3 linked regions of the Nothobranchius furzeri genome follow. The protein of the gene in region 3 purifies or fractionates together with the protein of the main gene of each other region. This does not show direct contact. Links are inferred from orthologs where the notes say so. Each region holds a gene or a part of one and is shown on either strand. Other genes may lie near its edges.

The links.
Region 1: the proteins of setdb1b (region 3) and chaf1a purify together in Homo sapiens (affinity purification with western blotting; 3 studies listed by BioGRID and IntAct, with this or other methods). This does not show direct contact. The link is inferred for Nothobranchius furzeri from reciprocal best matches to the Homo sapiens genes SETDB1 and CHAF1A.
Region 2: the proteins of setdb1b (region 3) and atf7ip purify together in Homo sapiens (affinity purification with mass spectrometry; 6 studies listed by BioGRID and IntAct, counting the BioPlex papers as one, with this or other methods). This does not show direct contact. The link is inferred for Nothobranchius furzeri from reciprocal best matches to the Homo sapiens genes SETDB1 and ATF7IP.

The regions. Positions count from the first base shown.
Region 1 is NC_091748.1:48,299,180-48,302,933, reverse strand, and holds the start of chaf1a (chromatin assembly factor 1 subunit A), read left to right. Parts: upstream 1-1,212; 5' UTR 1,213-1,422; coding exon 1,423-1,486; intron 1,487-2,604; coding exon 2,605-2,652; intron 2,653-3,754. Other genes in the region: scamp4 (secretory carrier-associated membrane protein 4), read right to left, coding at 1-22. UniProt on the Homo sapiens protein: Acts as a component of the histone chaperone complex chromatin assembly factor 1 (CAF-1), which assembles histone octamers onto DNA during replication and repair.
Region 2 is NC_091747.1:75,425,407-75,429,160, forward strand, and holds the start of atf7ip (activating transcription factor 7-interacting protein 1), read left to right. Parts: upstream 1-1,220; 5' UTR 1,221-1,426; intron 1,427-3,754. UniProt on the Homo sapiens protein: Recruiter that couples transcriptional factors to general transcription apparatus and thereby modulates transcription regulation and chromatin formation. Can both act as an activator or a repressor depending on the context.
Region 3 is NC_091745.1:76,219,286-76,223,039, forward strand, and holds the start of setdb1b (histone-lysine N-methyltransferase SETDB1-B), read left to right. Parts: upstream 1-1,516; 5' UTR 1,517-1,617; coding exon 1,618-1,637; intron 1,638-2,473; coding exon 2,474-2,677; intron 2,678-2,750; coding exon 2,751-2,914; intron 2,915-2,995; coding exon 2,996-3,033; intron 3,034-3,754. UniProt on the Homo sapiens protein: Histone methyltransferase that specifically trimethylates 'Lys-9' of histone H3. H3 'Lys-9' trimethylation represents a specific tag for epigenetic transcriptional repression by recruiting HP1 (CBX1, CBX3 and/or CBX5) proteins to methylated histones.

The sequences.
Region 1 (3,754 bases), on a different chromosome or scaffold from region 3:
CCCCTTCAAACGTTTCACGCATGCGCCACAACTGACGGCTTTGTAGTTTTTTAACGTCAGTACTTAACGCATTTGCCCTTCTGAAAAACTACATATCCCTGCAAAGGCTTGAGCGATAACGGAAAACGCGTGACAACATGATAAACGACGTCCATCTATGACCGATTGGTACGACTCAGTTCAAATGTATCCCGCCCACTTCCTAGTGTGTGAATTATGGTTGCAAATTTTATATAATTAAAACGCTTGTATGCAACGCTTGTATGCAGTATTTGACATAAGACAACTTTCTCACTGACACAAACATGCTAATGTTTGCGGTGTACTTAAAAATAAAAAAAGTATGTTAAAATGAAAATGAGCTTATTCAATTGAGAATGGTCAACATGTGGATTTGGCGCCATCTTGAGTCAGGTTCACAATAACGAATCATTAAAATCTAGTCAACACGTTTCATATGAAATTATTATCAATCAAAATTTGAGGATAACATAAACTGAAATATCCTTGGTTTGAAATTCAATGTGCTTAAGTTTATATATATATATATATATATATATACACGCCCTCTTTTAACAGAACAGTTTTCATGATTGGGTTCTCTTCAGGGCCAACACAAGGCAGATGACTTCTAAAGTTTTATCTGCTTGTTTTTGTCCACATTTATTGAATTTTAAAATCCCTGACATGATTTAAACTTTTTTCCATTTGCTTTGTTGTGTTTATTGTTGCTTTTTGTTGGTATTATTTGTGGTATGTGCTTTTTTGTTTTTGAAGTTGTATTAAATAAAGATTGTAAAAAAAAAAAGTCAATCCTATCACCCAATCACTGATCCTGAAACATCAACTGGAAGGAGTGTCTTTAGAAATGAATCTGCTACGTTTCGTTTCGTGGTACAGAGTGTCCCATTACCGGGTGGATAGTATGCGCTTAAAGTGCAATTTATTAAATAGATCACTTGTTTCTAAAACGTTACAGGCTTTATTATTGAGGAAAATATATAAATCATAAAGTATTTTCAACCTTTCTTTCTCTAAAGTTCAAAAAGCTTCACATAACGTGAAGGTTGACACAAACGTGCAGACCCGTTGTTCAAATCGAGCATACTCTGCAGAACCAGAGGAACGTTTTAGACCAATCAGCGAAGGTTATTGATGGAAGCAGCCGGCTCCCGCCAATTCCGACTCTGGAGCGCGAGGCAGACGTCGGGGTAGACCAAGGGACCACTTCGGAGGCACGGAAAGAGTTTTAGCTATGTTTTATCTGTTATAAAATGAGATTGCAGGCCATTTAAATAAGGACACAATAGTTTTGTAATATTAAAAGGCACTGGTTTGTGTTAACATTATATCTAGCGGTGTGTTAAAGTTGTTTTTGTCGTTAACACCGTGATCGTGAAAAGCCCCGGGTTAGTAGTTGGGATGTTGGCAGCCGAAAACGCATCTGTGGACGGACATTTGTCAGCATCGACTCCCCGCAGAAGAGGTAAAAAATCATCATGGCAGTGTACCGACATTATGATCGATTACTCGAAGTTTTAGTAATGTCATAGTGGAAGAACTGCTGTGCTATTTTGTTTGTATGGAGTATAAGTAAATTGCATCAACGATTAAATATATATATGTTGTACAATTTCAAATTTGTCAACGCTAACCTTTTCACAGCAGAGCTTTCACCGATCTTCTGTACTGAATTATGTTTTTGCACCAAATGCCAATTTATAAACGTTACAGCACAACTTCTGCGTAAAGCTAGCGGTCTCACAGAATGGATGTTATTATTTGACCAAACACCAGTTGTGGGAACTTTGTCGCATTTGCCATAGACTGGTTACACATCGACCAAGTCTTGCTATGCTACAATGACAAATGCTTTGGTAGCTCACGGATTGTCCTTCAAAGTTGCTGGCTAGTTTGATTAGACACAGCTAGGTATGTAGCATGCATCAGGGTCTCAAAGCTAACACCTAACATGAAAGCTACTTTTATATTGGAGCTGTCAAAGCTCCTCTAGTCCTCGGACTGTCACACACACGCCAGTGGTTTTGCGTTTGCCATCATTCTGTCACATTGCAGCCGTTTTTCTTATTTCCTACGTTTTCTGTCGTCCGTAGAAGGCAACCAAATCTCTGCCTGACAGACCGGAGGTGTTGGCCCTGTAGACTCGGGCCTGCAGTACCGGTTGACACAGTAGTTGGCGGGAGAGCGAGCCGAGCTGCACCAGCAGGGATACTTTACTGTTAGCACAGCGACGGCACAGAGAACCAGGGCTGCACAGCTGCACCCTTCAGTTTAGCTTTGCTTATGGTAGTAATGCCAAAACTACACAAACATATTGTTCATCCATGATTAATCCATTACTATATTTTTACAAGGATGTTAACGAATAGATTCACAGGTATTGTAATTGTGTTTAGTTTGATGAGTTTTACTGAAGTCTGATCAGTTTTGTGGTATTTTTAAAATGAAAAGCTTGAATCCTTTTAGCTTTTACAGTTGAGACTTGGCGCCTTTAGCCTAATAAGTCATCATCTTTAATAAGCTGAAATGTATTTCAACTTTGCATATAATCGTATTTTAAAAAATTGTTTTTGCTCTTTTCAGGAATGGATTGTAAGTCAAGTAATAATGCCAGCAAGAAACTAATTCAAGGTAAATATGTATTATTTACATAAGATCAAACACTGAAGAAAAAATAAAACACCCACGTTCATAAAAATGATGCACATATATAAACTACACTATTTTATTTAGTTTTAAATCTATTAGTCAAGAATAAAACAGTTTGGGGTCAATTATGCAATCTTTGACAGTAACCTAGAGATTGTGACGGGTGATAGGAAACGTATGGATGAGACTGACCAAGTAGGCTGCATGGTGGCGCAGTTGTTAGCACCGTTGCCTCGCAGCACGAAGGTCGCAGGTTCGAAACTCGGCTGTGGCCTTTCTGCATGGAGTTGCATGTTCTCCCCATGCATGCGTGGGTTTCCTCCGGGTACTCCGGTTTCCCCCACAGATCACAGCATGCCCTATAGGTTATAAATTGTAAGTCGCTTTGGATAAAAGCGTCTGCTAAATAAATAAACATAAACGCGAATAAACATAAACAAGTATGGATATGTCTGAAAACATAACGGTGAGTTGTGATTAGGGGTAAACCGATACTATCAGGCCCATATTCACCTTATACATTGGCATCGGCTGATATATCTCTTTAGTAAATCCAATTTAAAGTTGGCACATCTGTATATTTATGTTCCTGAATCTTTGTTTTATAAACTTTGGTTAAATGTTTTATTTTAATACTGAGGAGTACACAAAACAAATATTCCACAGTTAGTTCAACTCAGTGTTCAAAAACTGATTCAGGTTCAGAAATATTACTCACATCTGCCGTTGTTATTTGTGTCATTTTGATCATGTGAAAAATCTCAAGTCAGCCATGAAAATTAGCCGAAAAGAATCAGCAGCACTTATCGGCTGACCCTGACCTCTGCCTATCGACATTGGCGTTAGAAAAACCCATATCGGTTATCTCTAGTTTTGATGGTGAACATATAATCTTTAAGTGGCTACATAAATTAATTATTAGCTGTTAATAATTGGACAAAGTGTTTCTACATTAATAAAAGTTTGAAGAGCAACCGACTCACACACCAGATAAAGCGCCTGTCAGGTTTTATTAATAATGTGACATTAAGTGCTCAAAAATGTTACATGTTATTAATAATAAATGAATAATTTGTTTTTTATA
Region 2 (3,754 bases), on a different chromosome or scaffold from region 3:
GACCTTGTCTGGTGCACGTGTGTGAGAAGGAAAAGGCAACAGTCGAGTGAGAGAACACAAACGCTCCCTCCTGATTCCATGGATCATGCGTGAATCTGTTTGAAGAACAGTCATAACACTAAACTACATCAGGTTAAATGGTTTACACAACTCAACGCACAGGAGCAAAGTTCTCAAGCCTATGTGAAAACATCACCACTGTTTGCCCTCTACTGGCCACATGTGGAACTACAGGTTCTTTATGAAGAAATGAGTCAACAAAATGGCTGACCCGTGCATCTGTGAGGAAAGAAAATAACACGCACCTGCTGCACATAAAAAAGATGTATCTGAACTTTACAAAGAAGTAATTGAAAACTTGTACTTGTGTTAAGGTTTTATTGTGAAAATTAATCAAATCTTAATGGGTGACAATTATCTGCTTACTTGGCTAAAAAAATAAACGAGAGCTGTGACAGTTTCACACATTTTCTGGCTTAGTATTAGCTTTATACATTAATCTGTCAGTGTTCTCATGTTGTGTGAGGCATCTTAAAGAAAAAAAAACAGAAAACAGAGCTCAGTTTCTCAAATGTCTCAAATACTGTACACAGAACAGCTGGACCAGCAGCACATCCTCACCATTGTGTGTGATGCCTTTAAACTTTAGTGTGAGGTGTAGTTTTTAGTTTAAAGAAAATTTTTGAAGCAGCTGCTCAGACAGGCTCCTCCTCCTTACAGCCCCTCCCCCTAAAGCCCGGGTTTTTGTCTGTCAGGAACAAACCATTCACCCCTCCCTCTCTATGCTAATGTGCAGAGCTGCTGCTGCCTGTCTGCACATGCAGAAGTCGGCTGTGGCTTTTTCTGCCATTCTGCTGCTAGGTTCCTCTGAGAGCCCTTGGCATAAGACCTGCCAGACCCTCCTTAAAAGCCTACCAGTCACCTCCAGGAGCAGATCATACGTACCCTGCCAGCTTTAGGTACCGGCTTCAGTGCCCACACCGACCAGGAGAGAAGCTAAAGAACGAACCGCGGGAGAAGTAAGACTCAGGTCGCGACAGTTAACCGACGTGAGCGACTTCGTAGCGTCTGCTGACTACCCCCGCCGCCGAAGACCGCTGACGTCACGCTACGACCAAGAGGTTTTTTTTCCCTCTTTTGTGCGTTTGCGCGAAAAAAGGTGGAGCTTAAATTTCAAGCTGAACCAACGGTCGGAGTGGACAACACCACAAAAGTCCGAGGCGGTGAAGAGCTCCTGGTCCAGAAGAAGACGATTTAGAAGCGCTCCTGGTGTTCCCTTCCACTTGTGGAAACCGGTGAGCAGCAGCTTCGCTCACACCACATCCGTACCTCCACACGCAACTGTGGGATTCCAGAAGACCGTAAGTGAACGGGATAGCGTGCTACGGAAGATCAAAGAAAAGCCGCTTGACAGAACGAATAGTCGGTGAGTGTAGATACTGCATGCTAGCTAACCAATGCTAATGCTTAGTTAATAAAAGCTGATATGTTTTGCCTCAAAGTAAAATAACCAGCCAATAATAGATTACACTTTCTTTTCGTCTTACGTTTTTCAAGCAGATTGGTCCTTTTTCAGGTGTTTTTCAAGTTTTGAGTACAGCGGCATTCGTTAGCTAATAGTTGGCTTGTGATTAATACACAAACATTTATTTATATTTCTCTTTAAGTTAGAGAATTAAGTTTTAAGAGTAATGCCATTTATGAATTGGACAGTGGAAAATGTAATTTTAATAATTTAAATGTTAGCTATACTGTATTCCTTTGTTGGTGCGTTACTGCAACTTTTTCAGAAATTAAAATGTTACGATCATGAAGAATTAAGAACATTTTTCCCGTAGCATGGGGAATTAAATTTACTATGAATAAGGCATTTTTTTATTTATTTGATAGCAATTGTGGGTGGAGCCTTTTCTGTCAGGTAGTCAGGACAGACTTGTATCTGATTGGCTAGTTCTTTTTGGCTTCACTTGAGCCAACTTGTTTTTGACATTAGAGGCAATTACAGTACTCCACAGCTTGTTTTCCATCTTGTATGTTAGCTTAATAATTACGATTTCTGACCTTTTATGAGAGAGGCTTAAAGTTTGTGATGTGGCGCAAAATTTTATGGAAGGATTTGTTGAAGTTTTCACACAATTTTATCCTGTTACAAGATGGGTTAAGGCGAGAAAACAGTTTTATAACCCAGATTACAGTTCCCTATTTTTCTTCTCTCCACAGAGCATGTTTTGAGCTAATTTTCAAGTGTATTGCTTAGTTAAAATACTGCACCATAAAATAGGCATACGTGAACATGTAAAACAAATTGGTAAATTTCCCTCAACCAGGTGATCAATTTCAAATCAATTTCCCTCTGGGATTAATAAAGTATTATTGAATTGAATTGGTGTTGCTCTTTTTTATATAGATTACAAGTTACACATATTAAATTCTACTACAAAAAAACTAGTGTCTTGGATGTATATGGGCCTCAGTTAAACAGCAAGCCTAACCTAATGACCTAGTCGTTATAAACCCAGCCCTAACAAGCCAGTTTAGCGATTGTGTAATGTTGGTGCTAAAACAAGCAGCAGACCTATCTAGCACATTGCAGAGGCAAAAGTTTGGGGGAGGGGCACATGGAAGGGCAGCCCTTGTGTTAGTTATTCTAGTGTAAAAGTGGTGATGACAAAGGAAAGGGGTAAAATGAAAAGGTTATGGAGGAAATGAATTCCCCTGGTCACTTTCCAGTCCATTTGTAAAAGCTTGTATGAACAGCTTGCACTAACATTCCTTACAATGTGTAAACTCCCCTCTTCCTCTGAAGTGGTACGGCCCAGTAATTTTCCATGAACAACACTGTGCTATAAAATGGGAGTGGCTTAATGTCAGTGTTAAAATTAGTGTTAGGTAGCCCCCCCCCCCCCCCCCCCCCGGTTGGTTTAGAAAAGGCATTGTCTTTAAACTGGTGACTTTAAACTGTCTGCTTCTTTCTGACACATCACATACATTAGTTAGCCATAATAAAGTAAATAAGAAATGAGTCCATTTCAACTTTAAAATTGAAATCCTCCATTGTAGCTTGTAAATATCATTTACAAACACACACCACAGTTTCAGATGTTCAACTTTTTGAGAAATGGTACAGCCCTGTTTCTTGTTTCACCTCCCCCACATCTGAGCTTCAGTGCGCACATGGTGCATTTGTAATTCAATACATAGACTGTTTCCCCATGCAGTTAAAGAAGCAGCATTTAAGGGAGCTACCTTTCACACCTTTTTCATTTGTATTTCCCGTGGAATTATTTAATGTCGATTGTTTATCCTAACTTTGCAGTAATTAAACAAATTCTTTTGCATAATGAGATGACCTTAAATGGTTAAAGTCTACAATTACTATAGTAATTATAATGTAATTTGTTTTAAGTTAAAGACTAAAAAAGTTAAAGGGACTGATGTAGTCAAACAAAATAGTGCCGGACAGGAGTAGGACTTGGGGAAACCCAAAAACAGCCCTTTCTCTGTTTGCCAACGCACAGTAACATGGTGCCTTGTGGAAGCTTCACATCAATGACACGCATACGTACATATACACAAACACGCTTGTGCACATATACACAAACACACTTGTCTGCCTAACATATTTTTGCAAAAGTGTAACTGGTAGATTCATTTGTGATGTAGAGGCATGTTAAAAGGCCTCCTAATGCTGTTTATGAAGGGGAGACCACTGACTAATCATAGGATTTATGTGATGGTAAACCTGTGTCTACGT
Region 3 (3,754 bases):
GTTGCCTCTAAAAAACTGGGAATTTGCGTCTTCCTTTGGCTAAATATAGAACAACACTGTTTTCATACATAATGAAGGGAATATGGTGAGTTGCTGCCCTCCAGTGTCTGAAAGCTGTTACTGCACTTGTATTCTTTTTAGCCTTTTAGAAGATAATGTTTTGGCCTCCTTATCTTAACGGGGCATTTAAAAAATCTTAATCTTTTTTCTCTCCTCTTGGGAATATTAATATTAAAGGGGGGGGGGGGGGTAGACGGAGTAGAAGGAACTGAATTTATAAAGTCAAAAAAGTTCCTTAGAAATATTTACTTCAACGATTCCAAAAACCGTGTTCTGTTGCCTTGAAAGAACTGGGAATTGGCGACCTCTCCTGGCAAAAAATAGAACACTTTTGTCCAACAGCATTTAGAATAGAAGGAAAGATGGGGAGGGGCTGCACAGGGTGAGTGCGCGTGTGTGTGCAAGATTGCTTGTCCTGTGTGTCTCTGTGTTGCCCTCGGTTGCCCTGCGATGGACTGGCTCTCTGTCCAGGGTGCACCCCCCGATTGCCCATTGACCGCTGGAGACAGCACCCCCCCCCCCCCCACACACACACACACACACACGCGCGCGCGGACAAGCGGGTTCAGAAAATGGATGTACGTGAAGATGGGGAGTTGCTGCCCTCCAGTGTATGAAAGCTGTAACTGCGCTTGTGTTCTTTGCCTTTTAGAAGAGAATATTTTAGCCTCCTTGGTTTGATGGAGCCTTAAAAAAACTTAATCCTTTTTTTTGTTCTCTTGGAAATTGTAGTATTGAAGAAGAGACCGAGGAGTAGAAGGAGAATAAGGAACTGGATTTCTAAAGTTGAAAGAGTTCCTTAATTGAAACACTTCCTCTGAAGTTCTTTTTGGTTCCTTGCAAGAACGGGAACTTTGCGCCCTCTGCTGGCAAATAAACATAGCTCCCTTGTTTTAAATTAAATAAATGGAACCTTAAAAAGGCCAGATAATATAAAATTAAGATATTTAGGTACTAAATTTTACCAGAACAAATGTGTGGTTTGTAATAAAACATGCCAGATATAAAACTATTAGTTATTAGTTCAAATAAATACCCAACTACAGCTAATTAACTCACACAGACGTAGATAGACACTGATTTATAAAAAAGGTCCATATTTTGTTTCAAACAGAATGAAAACTACTGTATTAGGATTTCACAATTAATGCATAAAATATTCAAAGAAAATAAAAAGAAATGCAATTAGTTACAGAACAAAAGAGTAAATGTTTGACCACAATAGCTGATTTAATTTGATAAACTTGTTTATTCGGTAAAATGAAAAAGTAAATCAAACAATTTGCAATATGTTATACTTGTATAACTTTTAAACTGCCCCACGTAAAACTATTCACATTCCTAAACATTAAAAAAAATCTGAAAACCAAACGAACTCGTCATTGTTTGGCTCGGTTCAATTATTAAGTCACAATAACATCCTGCGTGGGCGGGACTTTTTTTCCAATGCTGCGATCTACTACACCGCCCTTTTCGGACACCCCGGGAATCGAAACATCTTTTGTAGCTTACCCTTTAGCATTAGCGGAATAAGCTAGTTTTACATCTGCGTCCGAGATGATGGAGATCAGCGAGCGGTGGGTGGCTTTCCCGTTAATTAGAACATGTTTCATAGGTTACGAATGTTTTTGATGCAATTCTCTATTGTGCAATGAACATATTTGTTTCAGCAGCCTGCACCTCTCATTCAAATCAGAATTGTTCTTTTCCCATGCTAAGCTAACCGGTTAGCATGCGTCTCAACAAGGGTTTGTTGTTGCTGCACAAATCTAACGTGTAAAACGAAGACATTAGGGCTTTACATCACTCTCCGACAACAAATGAGCAACATTTTTATTATTTACTCAAGTTCAGCTCATAAGTTCATCTTTTTTGCAACAACTAAGTGGGAAAGTTGTGTTTACTCCTGATGTCCCTAGTGATCTACTATCTTATACATGTGTATTATTCAGATAAACTGGTATGCATCTGGAATTTCTTTTATGGATTCACTGCATCTTTAAAAAATCAGATTAACTTGAGTGTATTTTATCCTGTTTTTACCATAAAGGATGATGACCCGTATGCTAGACACGTCTATAACAGTAATGCGTTGTTATTTAGGGAGTGTGACTATTAGGTATTATTAATGTCTTTCACACAGAGTGAGGTTTAAAACTTGATCAAAATCACAAAAATGCTAATATATATATATATATATATATATATATATATATATATATATATATATATATAAAGAATATAACTCTTTTCGTTAAACTTAATTAATCACTACCAAGCTGTAAATAAATGTTATCATGCTTCATTCTGGCCATCTGTGGGAGTTTAAGCTGATGGTTGTAAAGCAGACGGTTGAGTTTGTTTTTAAAAATGTAGCGCTGTTTAAATGTGTTTCTCTGCATTCCCTCCTCAGAATGGAGGTGGACGGCTGGGACTCGAGTCTGGAGGACGATTTGGGTGTTTCCTTGGATGATCTGAAGAAGCTGGTTGAAGAAGCTGTGGAACAGAGTGAGATGGTGCAGAAGAAAAAAGCTCAGTTGAAAGAACTGAAGCAGTGGGTGGAACAGAAAGAGGAAGAGGAGGCAAAGACGGAGATGCTTCTCAAAGACACAAACCAGTGAGGTGGAATGGTTGTCTGTTTTATTAGTGCTTATCTATAACGAGCTCATCTTCTTGTCTCCTTTTTTTAGATCTTTAAAGAGGTGTGAGAAACTGGTAAAGGAGGCTTATCAGCTGAACGGTCTTGTCTACCGAGAGAGCAGCTCTGAGGATGAAGGGGGTGGAGATGGACTGTGCTCTGAAGTCATTGAGATAGATGATGATGACGATGACGATGTCATTGCAGTTGGATGTTGTAAGTTGTGCTGTTTTGTAAAAAGATATGAAAACACTGAGACTGTTGTTCATCTCTTTTTCTTCTGTTCTGCACCATCAGTGGTTCCTCCAACGAAATCTCCAGGCAAAGACTCAGTGGTGAGAGCAACAAAAACAGTGTTTCTGAAAATATATTCATATCTAATTACTATGTAATTACTACAGTGTTGTTTTTGTTAATGAGCATCAGGGACAAAAAGTGCTGTTGACACATAACAGGCAGCTTTAAAGGTGTGGAGAACTGAGAAATATTGTTTAACTCATTCGCTGCCAGCGTTTCTCACCGTTTTTACTGTTTTTTTTTAAGAGTGACAGAACGTTGCATGCTAGGATGATGTCGACGCCGAAACAACCAAAACAAAATGGAGACTCACCTTTTACATCAGGAAGAATCCGCGCGTTTCGAGCGTTATCCGTTCTTTCATAATCCGTTGTTGAAGTGTGATCGGCAGAAGCTTTTCCGGTTCGCGCCTCACTTTTTTTTACAGCAACGGCCCAAAACGATCTCCTAACACATGACGTTCTGCTTCCTGATCACGTGACCTGTGACGTACGCGGATGAAGATCGGCTGTTTGTTCTCACCGTGCGGGGGCTCGTCCGACACCCACACAGTAACAAAATGCAAATGACGACTTTAGTCCTCAATGGCAGTGAATGAGTTAATGATTATAATGGGTCATAGAAGAGCACGCTGGCATCGTCCAGAGGACATCAGGTGCTCCGACAGCCCATGGGACATCAAATGTAAAGGATAAAGTATACTTTATCCTCTAGGTTATAATGGGTCACTCAGAGTTCTTCATGCCGTCCGAACATGAA